Linked DNA regions of Diceros bicornis minor. The protein of the gene in region 3 purifies or fractionates together with the protein of the main gene of each other region. This does not show direct contact. Links are inferred from orthologs where the notes say so. Each region holds a gene or a part of one and is shown on either strand. Other genes may lie near its edges.

Region 1 (3,745 bases), on a different chromosome or scaffold from region 3:
TTCTTTCCCTTGCCAGCTCCTATTTCAATTGTAATTACAGACTCATTTGTATTACTTAATTCATGTCTGTTTCTTCCATTAGACTGTACATTCAGGAAGAGCAAAAATCATCTGTTTTTACTGACCACCACATCCCTAATGCTCTGGATTGTGCTCGACACATGGGCACTCAATAAATATTTCTTCAATGGACAAACGATAAAAAGAGTTATGGGCTTCTACTCACTCCTCACAATAAACTATCTGTATGGCTCATAACATACTGACAAAAACTTTCATTCAAACATTAAACTCAAGGTTTAAGAGACTCCAAAGTTTTACCTTTTCCCAGGAATTGTAAAACACTAGTTTCGCTCTGGAAACAAGAGCATAAAAGCCAAAAAACAAATTTCCTACTTTGTGGTAGATCTCATAATTGTGTTAACAATTATTTCCGAATAAAGAATTAAAGGATTTAATATTCCACTTCAGGATTTTTAAATATTTAACTAGGGGAAAGTGATCGTTTTTCCAGTCAATACTCTGATGTTTCCTCACCGACACCCTCCAAGATTCAGGTTACATTTTTCTAACTACCTTCAAGACAGTGAGGTATTATTCTAAATTCAACAGGTCTAAAACTGCACTCTTCTCACTTTGCCACTTTCATATCTTCATTCTTTGAGGCAAGAAACTGCAGTTTCATGTTTGGTTCTTTGTACTTTTACACTTCATCAAGCACATCTATCTAAACCTTTGAAGTGTCTTACAACCCTCCCTCCTATCCTCATTTTCTCTCATCTCGAAATCACCAACCTAACTATGGACCAAAGTAGGTCACTCGCCTTCATTTTGCCTCATCTCTTGAAACAACTCTCACCATATCACTTTGCCATTCTAAAATCAAGGGTCTCTCACTATTGTTCTTTAATGGTTCTTTCTAAGCAAGGTGTCCTGATCAGCAGCATCTGCATCACCTGGGAACTTGTTAGAAATGCAAATTTTGCGGTCCACCTCAGACGTAATGGAAAGTATGATTCTGATGCACAATGAAGATGGAGAATCACTGGTCTTAAAACACTGAATCTAAAGATTCCTTTACTCAGCTTTGGAAGCTGCCCATAACCTGGTCCTATCTTCCTTAATAATCTTATTTATTTCCTTTCAATGGACAGACTTCACTCCAGTAAAGACATTTCTTCCTGGAGTCCCAAAAGTTCATTTTTAACCTGTCTCTTCTCACGTCAGTAACTTCTCATGTCTAACCAACTACTTCCCACTTTCAAGGCCCAACTCATTTCCTATCTTTTCTGTGAAAATATCTCCAACAATTGTAATCCACAACAATATCATCCTTATTTAAACTACTATTTTTATAGTTAGTACCACTTGACTTACAATTTAACTATTTGCTGTTTTGTTTTGTTTGTTTAAACATATGGATTGAGATTTTTGTTTTTTGTTCTCTTCCATTAGTGTAATTCTGGATACAAAGTACTTGCTCAATAAAGCGTTGCCAGTGTAGTTACGTCTCACCAACTTTTCTTTTCTGCAGGGTATCACAGGTCAAATTATTATTCCAGCAAGGATCTTTTACATTTTCCTAGGTCAACCAATGACATGACATCCACAGATTTTGTCTCCCAACCAGAAAGATAATAAAACGTTGCAACAAACTAACCCCTGACCACAACACCCAGAAACTGAAGGGTCTCTGAGCCACCGAACAGAATACTTCTCATCTAAGCTATCACTCCTCCACAAACTTGGCTTTCAACTAATTTCAATGACACAACGATTTCACTCAGCTGTTCAATGGAGTTTGATAGGCACAGAAAGCCTGGGCACATGACCCACTGAAATGCAACAACTTGAATCAAAGCGTTCCAAAGCCATATGCAGACTATTTTAAAAGGTTATTCTAAAAGACAGGATGGAGATGGTGGGAGTGTGGCAGATGGACAACCACCAATGCTCTGAAGGCCTCCTCCTAAGAAGGATATACCGACGTATACAGGAGGAAAAAAAGCACTGCGAAATTTACTGCTTAGAATAACAAAGAGTTAAACGGAAACGAAAAGTGGAACGGAAGTGGTAGCCACGGAAATTGTAAATGCGAGTGGGCAACAACCAAGGTCTAAGGAAAGTGGCCTGAGAGTAAACAAAACTTTTTCTGAGAGCCGGAGTCTCAGGGCTTGGCTGACGGGGGCGAGCTGGGGCTTGTCAGACGCCAGACGCAGAAGAGGCCTGCAAGCTGACCAGAGAGGGGAGGAGGCGGAGGCCTGCGGGCCCAGGAGTCTTAACAGGCGTCACAGGTGGACCGTCTATGTTGGGGAAGCCGCGGGGGGACGCCGGGGCCCGAGGCACCCGTAACCAACGACACGACTCACTCACCTTTCCCATTCCGAGGCAGTGGTGAAGTCCGTGATCTCAAACACCTCGGACTCGGGCTGCGGGAAAGGGAAGGAAAGAAAGAGATTGAGTCTCGGGGCGCTGACGTGGAGGAGCGAACTTAGAGACAGGGATAGATAAGGAGAAAACACTTCACCTCACTATCGGCCGCCATCTTGAGGAGCGCCGGGGCGGGCTCTAGGGCTGCCGGGAAGGAGAGCGGGAGGGCGAGGGGAGGAGGAACAGGAGGGCGGAGGGCAGGCGGGGGCGGGGCCTCCGCGCGGCCCCGCCCCCGGAGGCACCGCCCCCTGTTAGTGTGTCCGGCTTGGAAAAGTCTTCTTAGGCAAAAATCATTAGATGAAAAAAAAAATGCTTTAAGTTTGAAATTTCCCTGTAACGAATTCAGAAAAGGAACAGAAGAAAGGAGATAAGACAAGGCCCTATATTCCTGTGGATAAGATTGTATTAAAAAACCTAAAGCACATTGAGTTTTCATTCAACCTCTATTTATTGATTGCAAGGCACTGAGCTAGGTGCTGTAACATCCACCCTCCCTCATCCCCCCTTAAAGAATTTACACAGTTTGGTTAAGTCATGAGATAAAATCATCATGCTAGTTATCTGGTTTCTGGGAAGAACAACATGCTGTTCAATGAACGCTTTACTTTTTAAGCCATTGAGGAACAGAAGAGTGCCAGCTAGCAGTTAATAATTATATTTCATACATACTAAAGTATTTACAGATATGAGACCAGTCTAGGATCTGCTTGATAATAATGGGAGGAGGAAGTGAGTAGGGCTAGAAATAAAACAAGATTAGCTATGAGTGGATAATTGTTTAAGCCAGTAATGGGTACATGGGTGTTTATAGTATTTTCTCTACTTCTGTTGGGTCTGCAATTCTTCATAATTAAAAGTTTTTAAAAATTAAATCTCATTTAATGAGTTTTTCAACCCACAACAAGGAATTTGGAGGTAGAGGACTAAGGAATTCGGCTTCAGCAATAAAAAATTTAATCTTAAAATAAGAGAGGTATCAAAAATTTGGTGATATAGATAGGGCAGATGAGGAAACTAAGACCAAAAGAATTTGACAACAGATGGTTATTGCCAGTGCCAAGCCTTGAACCCCTGTCTCTTGATGTTCTTTCTAGTTTCTGTCCACTACACTAGTGGTGGGTTGTGAGTTACTACTGCAACAATCTTTCCCAAGAGGTCTCAACTTACACCTTCATTCATTTACAAGCATTTATTAAACACCTACTATAAGCAAATCACTATGCTAGGCTCTGGGGATATGAAGATGTATTGTAGATCTAGTCCCTGACTTCAAGGAACTCAGAGTCTAGTAGGGAAACTGGAAATTTGCTGCATG
Region 2 (3,745 bases), on a different chromosome or scaffold from region 3:
CTGAGCTGGTAGAAGAGGTGGAAGAGATGCAGAAGGCCTGGACATGGGCAGGGGTGCTCCTGTGCTCCCACTGGCCAGGCCTAGCCAGGCTCTCCCGACCCTTTTTCTCAGGTGGGCTGAGACCTACAGGCTGGACGTGCTAGAGGCAGTAGCTCCAGAGCGGCCCCGCTGTGCCTACTGCAGCACAGAGGCCTCCAAACGCTGTTCACGATGCCAGAATGAGTGGTATTGCTGCAGGTGAGGGCATCCTAGGACCTTGGACCCCTAAGCCCCACTCCCATACCCCCCACAAGCACTGCATCCTCACCAGGCCACCTGCCTGCAGGGAGTGCCAAGTCAAGCACTGGGAGAAGCATAGAAAGGCTTGTGTCCGGACAGCCCAGGGTGACAGAGCCAAGTGAAGGCTGCAGCTGCTGAGGGACAACCACCCATGCGATACAACTCACCTTGAGTGTGCCCCTGAACCTAGGGATCTCAGCCCGGCCTCTGCCAGAGCCCCAGCCTCCCAGGTGGTGAACACAGCCCACAGGGTAGAGCTGCTGCCCCATCTCCCCCAGCAAAGCGCTGCCGGCTTCCTGCCCCACCCGGCGGGTAGGCTGAGGGCGCTGCCTCAGCAACCTAGGGCAGGAGGCCTGGGTGGAGGGCGAGGGCGAGGGCCGGATGTGGGGACCCTCTTCCTCTAGCACTGTAAAGCTGGCCTCCAGAAACATGCCTGTCTCCGAGTGGTCCTTTGCGGTCGTCGTCGTCGTTAGGGGAGGGGAGGAAAGGGAGGGCGGGGACTCTGGGAAAGGCCCCCACCCCGCCCTCCCACCCCACTCCGCCTGCGGGCGGACACAGTCCCGGCGCCCAGGTTTCCATTGCGCCGCTCTCCTCGGCGCTCTCCCGCCGCTGTGCCTGGATCGCTGACGCGGCGCCGCCTCGAGACCGTCCCACGGCCTCGCCCGCTCCGCGCTCGCTCGCGCCCAGAGCCGGCCGGAGTCCGGGCCCGACTGGGCCATGTCCGCTGAACCTGAGCTCATTGAGCTGCGGGAACTGGCACCCGAGAAGCGCGCCGGCCCGGGCCGCACCCGGCTGGAGCGCGCCAACGCGCTGCGCATCGCACCGGGCACAACGCGCAACCAAGCAAGGCAGCTGGTCCCGAGCCGCGGCCACCGCTTCCAGACCGCGGAGCCCGCCACGCACACGTGGTGCGACCTCTGCGGCGACTTCATCTGGGGCGTCGTGCGCAAGGGCCTGCAGTGCGCACGTGAGTAGCGGCCCCCGCGCGCTGGTGAAAGCGAAACGAGCGGCCAAGGGGCAGCACTGTCGCTGCGGGTCAAGTTGCGACGGAGGGGGCAGAAGCAGGGACGGGCCCCGCGAACCAGGTCCGTTATCTTTACCCCATCGCGGAAGTCTTTGGGCAGATGGTTTTATATCCTTGCCGTGCTCCATCTGCGTCTGGGGCACAGCTGGACAGAGGTGGTTGCCTGTGAATAACAAGGTGCAGATTTCAAGGTTCTTACCTTTAAAGTGCCTTTGCCCTTCTTGAGAAAGGCCTACCAGTCTCTGAGTCCATATTCCCAGGCCTGCTCCTTCCTGAAGATTCACTTACCTGTGTCCCCTCCAGAATCCTTGGGGTGAAGGGAATTTACCCACCTATGGGAGGGGTCCTGGAAAAAGAATCTTGGGTGGGCCCTCACAAGCAGGAATTTTGTTGTCTTCATTTAGCAAATACTTACTGCAGGCCCAGTCAACCAGGTGCTAAAACATGAAACACAGCCACACACCAGCAGTCCTTCTGCCCTCCCAGGAATCACCAGCAAGCAGAGGTTGCTCTCCCACTGGCTACACACCAGCTAGAATCACTTGGGATGCTTTTACAGCCCTCCAAACCCCTGTGCCTGGACCCTACCTTAGACCTGTTGAATCAAATCACTGAGTATATGAGTGTATCAGCGATTTTTAAACACAGATCATTCTAATGTGCAGCCTGGGTTGAGAATCATGTTCTGGCCCATGTAGGAGCTTTAGGGAAGGTATCCCAGGCCTGTGTGGGTATGGAGACTCTCTCGTCCAGCAGGGAGTCTGTCCTGAATTCTGGGAGGAGCACAGGAGTTGTGACAGAATACAAAGCATGAACAAGGACTGGGACATTGCAGTGTTCCCAAAGAGAAATAAAGTGGCCATGGAGATGAAAAACAGGACAATTTGGGTGTGTGTCAGGCAAAGACAAGGGAGGACTCAAGGATGAGCTGGGGTTTTTTGCCTTTTGTGTGTGTGTGTGTGAGGAGATCAGCCCTGTGCTAAGCTAACATCTGCCAATCCTCCTCTGTTTTTGCTGAGGAAGACTGGCCCTGGGCTAACATCCATGCCCATCTTCCTCCACTTTATATGGGACGCCGCCACAGCATGGCTTGCCAAGCAGTGCGTCAGTGTGTGCCGGGATCCGAACTGGCGAACACCAGGCCGCTACAGCGGAGCGCACGCACTTAACCACTTGCGCCACCGGGCCAGCCCAAGGGGTTTTTTGCCTTAAACAACTGGAATAATAGCAATTTTTGCTGAGATAAACTCTGGTAAGGGTAGGGTGAGGTGGAAGAAAAATGAGTTAAATTGTGACCATGTTGGGTTGAAATGTCTATTAGACATCCAAGTGAAGATACTGACACACAGATTTGACCTGAGGGGGGAGGTCAGTGATGGAAGCCTTGGATCCGGGGTAGGTGAGTGTACACAGCACAGGGCAGTGATCAGGACTGAGCCTCGGACACTCCACCATTAGATCTGGAAGTTGAGACAGAACCAAAGGAGCTGAGCAGGAGCTGCAGGGAGGTGGGAGGAAAAACTGGGAACCAAGGGGAGCAAGCATCAAACGATGCCCAGGACGTGAAGATGCAAAAGGGACGTGATTCGGCAGTGCAGTAGGTTGCTGAGGATCCGGAGCAGGGCAGTTGCCTGGAGGGAAGGGCAAGCCTGACTGGAACGGGTAGAGGAGAGAGTGAAGGCAAGGAATTAGAGTGTATGCAGACCAGTGTTGATAACTTTTGGCGTGAGGGGAGTAAGACAGATGACAACTAGAGGGGGACATGGGTTAAAGATGTTTGGTTTTTTCCCTTCAAGTACATGGGCGGAGAGGGGGGGGCTGACAATGCGGAAGGGGGAAGTTCTGCCCTAGGCGCTAGTGTTGAGCAGGCCTGGATCCCTAACCGCCTGAAGCCTTCCCGCCAGGTTCCAGACGCCAGGGAACCAACACTAGAATCTGTGTAGCAGTGGGCGGTAACGGGGCCTGAGATAAGGCCGGTCATGCAGAGCTTGGCGGGCAACGGCCTTCCCCCTGGGGCTTCTCTTCCGTCCCCGGGACACTTCTCCGAGCTGGAGCTGGGACTCCTCCACCTCACGGCCAGGCCTCTCTGCAGATTGCAAGTTCACCTGCCACTACCGCTGCCGCGCGCTCGTCCGCCTAGACTGCTGCGGGCCCCGGGACCTGGGCTGGGAACCGGCGCTGGAGCGGGACACAAACGTGGTGAGCGCGGGGCCGGGGGCGTATGGGCGAGGCAGGGACGCGTAGACGAGCAGGCCACACTGCAGGTGTTTCTAGGACCGCCCGGCATTACACGCAATGAGCGTTCTAATAGCGGATTTCCCTGCGGCAGAGAGTGGCTAACTCTGCGCGCGGGTTCGAAGGGGTGCCTGGGGTGCTGACTCCGCTCGAACTGCCCGGAATCTCCCAGGCGCCGCGCCCACGCAATTTCCGCACCTCTCCGCT
Region 3 (3,745 bases):
TGATTCTATATGAGTCTCCTCATTTTAGTGTTGAACTGTGCACTGGAATACAGAAAGGTTTCCATCAAAGCAAACTATCTTGAACTAAAAGAATAACATTAAGGAGGAAGGAAGCAAATGACTCCAAATGTCACCTCCTAACTCATCCTACCCCTCCTCTTTTCCAGTCCTCCCCATTACCCCACCTTTAAATAGAAGTACACAGCAACCCACTGGGTATTTAAGGAGAAACCATACATTCTCTCACATCAGTGGTTACTAAGTACACAACCACTCCCTGGCCAAACCCTCTCCCCTCCCCAACTGAAAAGGAGCCTCTTCCCAGAAAGCTTCCTAAAGTAAAGGGGAGGGGGTTGGCAGGAGGAATGAGGAGGAAAAGGACTCTTTCCTTATACTCGGTTTGCCTCTGTTATAGCATCTAGATGCCTTTTCTGTCTCCCTCACTAGTCTCGGAGTTCTTCAAGGGCAAAGATAAAACCTAACACATTTTACTCCTGTTTAATTGTATGCTTTCCCCATTAAATCACAAATTGTGAATCTTTTCTCCACCTTGTTTACCACTGAATCCCAATATAAGCTGATACCTGTTGAATGAATTATTCATTGCTGAATACTCTTCATCAAATATAGGGATGGCACAAAGCTAAAGTATTCGCTAAATAAATGGCCCAAGTGAATGTGTCCCCCTAGGAACTTTTCAACGAAACACTTTTTTAAAGTCAATTTAAAAAGGTGGTCATTGATGTCCAAACTTTTAAAAATGTGCCTTGTGAATTACTTTCACCCATAATACAAGAACCTATTCTATAATCATAGTTAATTTTTCAATACCTAAAATAGGTGAAATATATGGATATGTCATTGGGTAGGGTTTTGGGTTGTTTTTTTAACCTGCTTCTCCGCTATTATTAGTCTTTTACTACAGCAACATTACAACTTCTCTAGGGAGAAAGCTTCAAACTCTGTGGACATTTCCTGGCCTAAAACTGGTTTTAAAGGCTTCTAAGTCCCAGATAATGGTTATCCAGTAGTGGAAATTTCCTCTGTAAAACAGCCTGTCAAAAAGTAAAAGCAAAGTACTTAAATTCTCAAAAGAACACATATACCATAAAGGTTTACATTAAATTCCTCAAACCTAAGATAATAGCTAAGTTAGGTAATTTCATGATTCCCCAAAGGTGTATTTTTTTCTTTCAGCTAAAATTATGTAAAATCATGCCACACACATAAACTTGCCACACTAAAATGCTCTTAATGCCTCTCAAACTATTTCTTAGGGTTGTCTTAAAACTAAATCCTTACCTAACAAACAGCTCATTTACAATGCCACTCAAAGAAATCTGCAAATGCAGTAAAAAGCTTTCAAAATAAAGGAGCTATAAAATACACTCATAATACCAGAAAATACTATTTTAAAATTTCTAAAACTATTACCTTTTCCTATGGAAAACAATCTAAGTGTTTTTCTTTTGGATTCAGTCTTGTACAACAATAAAGGATTTATTTTGTTTTAAGCACTGGAATGGCTACACAGTTCACAAAGTGTTCTCATCATAGCTACCCAAATTGAAATACAAGATACTGAATCTTCCAAACGGCGACTCACTTTATGCTTAACTGAAGACACGGAGAAATCTGCTTTCTATTTAGGATCTTCACGCACTTTAAGTATTCGTAAACAGAAACCTGCTCAGTTTAACTCTCTTGCCTAAACTACCCTACATACCGAAAACAAATGGGCCAAACAGCCCCTTAGATTCCTCAAGGCTCACCAAGTCAGACTATTAATTTACCACGGGCATTGCTACAAAGTAAATCGACGGCGTCCCAGAGCTGAGTGACAACTATCAGCCTTCTCCGGGGCTTATTGGGAAACCTCAAACGTAAAGGCAGAAATCACCAACAGTGAAGATTCCGCAGCAAAAAAGCAAAGCGACAAGGGGCGAAACAAGGGTCGACGAATAGCAGCTCTGGCCTAGGCGGAAAGTGAGCTGAACTGTGCCATCAGAGGCCCAGGAAGCCGTCTACTAGTGACCTACCACAAACCCTCGGCTGCCGCGAGCTGCCCCGCCGCACGCGGGTCTCTGCCCGCACGCCCGGCTAGGCCAGAACCGGAGGACCTCCCGGCTCCCCGCCTCCCGCGCTCACGGACCCGACAGCCAAGTTAGCAACTGGAGAAAAGGTGGGAGCAGCGCTCTGCGCGGGCGGGGGCCGGAGGGCCCTCTCTCGGAACCGAGTCCGGGACGGCGAACCACGGCACTCGCGCCCCCCCGAGCCCCTCCCCGCCGAGCAGAGCGCCAGGCCTCGGTCACCGCCCACCACGCCCGCCGGGACGCCGCCCGCCGCCCGGGCCAAGGACAAGCGCCGGCGCGGGCAGCGCGGCAGCACCGGGAGGCGCCCGCGGGCCCGCAAGATGGCGGCGGCGGGCTGGGCCCCCGGCTCCCCGGGCACCGAGGCGGCACCGGGCGGCACCGAGGGAGGGAGGGGGGAAGCGGGCCGGGCCCGGGGACGCCGCCGCGAGCCGAGGTGCGGGCGTGGGGGAGGGGCCGCGGCCCGGCGCCGAGCTCCCGCACGCTCCCCCGGGGCTGCCCTCTGCCTGCCTACCTTTGAATTTGAGGTCTGTGGGCGGGTCGAGGACCAGGATCTGCTCGTGCTTCGCCATGGCCCCGGAGGCGGACGCCATTGGAGACAGCGCAGAGCGGGGGCGCGCCCGCGGCGGCGGTTTGGGCTGGGGGTGGGGGACAGCGGCGCCGGCTCGGCCGAGGTCTGCGAGGGGCCAGCTCACGGCTCCCGAACCCTGACGCCCGCCGCTCTCTCGCGGGGCGCCGGGCCGCCCGCTGGGTCCGCAGCTCCGGGTCTCACAACTGACTCAACCCCACACCAGCCGCCGCGGCCACGCGCACTGCGATCCTCGGCGCCCCACGTGACGGCCTCTGCGTGCCTACGTGCGCGCCCCGGCGCCGGGGCCGCTTGCGCTCGGCCCGCCCAGCGTGGCGCGGGCTGGTGCGCCTGCGCGCTTTCGGCCTGGCCGCCGCTCGGAGCGCGGCGCAGCTGTCAAGGGATCGGGTGGGGACAGGGGAGGGACTGAGCTCCGTGGGGCCCACGCGGTGCGCGCTTCGTGGCAGGAGGGCGCAATCCTCGGTCACGTTTAGATTGGATTAGGAAACTGGAGAACCCGCTATGGGCAGTGCATTACGATCTTCCGAGCGGGAATGCCTGATAGAAGGAAGGCGTGGCTGGGCTCCTTCACTACAACTCCCAGCATGCTCCGTGCGCGCCCGGCCCGTGTGCGGCCCTGCGCGATGGCTGCCGGGAGCGGTGTTAGTGGCTGTCGGCGGGCGGGAAGGCGGACGGGTCCGTGGGAGCGAATGGGATCTGCGCCAGGCGAATGGGGTGGGCGCGCCGACACTCCCTTGGGCGCTCAGAGCGTCTCTTCTGCGCTAAAAAAGAAAAACAAAAAGTTTCGGAGACTGACCCGAGGTCCCTGGTTAGAAATATAAAATATACCCTGTGGAAAACATGCCAGGATTTGTCAGTTTGCTCTCCAATTCTATCCATCCCTCTGATGGTGGAGCTAAATTCTCCGTCGTATTCCAGTCCAACCTCGCCTGCTTCCTGAATCTCTCCAGTGATGCAAAAGCACATGAGGAAACACCTTGTTTAAGAAGCAGATGCGTCGTTGGGGAAATCTGACAAGACACGTATCAAGCTAGAAATAAAAATCAAAATCTACAGCCTTCAGTTG

What was found. Proteins that work in one complex are often made in the same cells at the same time.
Region 1: the proteins of VAPA (region 3) and RAB3GAP1 purify together in Homo sapiens (affinity purification with mass spectrometry; 4 studies listed by BioGRID and IntAct, counting the BioPlex papers as one, with this or other methods). This does not show direct contact. The link is inferred for Diceros bicornis minor from reciprocal best matches to the Homo sapiens genes VAPA and RAB3GAP1.
Region 2: the proteins of VAPA (region 3) and RASSF1 purify together in Homo sapiens (co-immunoprecipitation; 3 studies listed by BioGRID and IntAct, counting the BioPlex papers as one, with this or other methods). This does not show direct contact. The link is inferred for Diceros bicornis minor from reciprocal best matches to the Homo sapiens genes VAPA and RASSF1.

What each region holds. Positions count from the first base shown.
Region 1 is NC_080749.1:20,666,681-20,670,425, reverse strand, and holds the start of RAB3GAP1 (rab3 GTPase-activating protein catalytic subunit), read right to left. Parts: upstream 2,570-3,745; 5' UTR 2,546-2,569; coding exon 2,528-2,545; intron 2,430-2,527; coding exon 2,374-2,429; intron 1-2,373. UniProt on the Homo sapiens protein: Catalytic subunit of the Rab3 GTPase-activating (Rab3GAP) complex composed of RAB3GAP1 and RAB3GAP2, which has GTPase-activating protein (GAP) activity towards various Rab3 subfamily members (RAB3A, RAB3B, RAB3C and RAB3D), RAB5A and RAB43, and guanine nucleotide exchange factor (GEF) activity towards RAB18.
Region 2 is NC_080741.1:51,362,914-51,366,658, reverse strand, and holds the start of RASSF1 (ras association domain-containing protein 1), read left to right. Parts: upstream 1-855; 5' UTR 856-996; coding exon 997-1,246; intron 1,247-3,395; coding exon 3,396-3,502; intron 3,503-3,510; exon of another isoform or gene 3,511-3,745. Other genes in the region: ZMYND10 (zinc finger MYND domain-containing protein 10), read left to right, coding at 112-237, 326-401. UniProt on the Homo sapiens protein: Potential tumor suppressor. Required for death receptor-dependent apoptosis. Mediates activation of STK3/MST2 and STK4/MST1 during Fas-induced apoptosis by preventing their dephosphorylation.
Region 3 is NC_080755.1:7,896,250-7,899,994, reverse strand, and holds the start of VAPA (vesicle-associated membrane protein-associated protein A), read right to left. Parts: upstream 2,902-3,745; 5' UTR 2,684-2,901; coding exon 2,605-2,683; intron 1-2,604. UniProt on the Homo sapiens protein: Endoplasmic reticulum (ER)-anchored protein that mediates the formation of contact sites between the ER and endosomes via interaction with FFAT motif-containing proteins such as STARD3 or WDR44.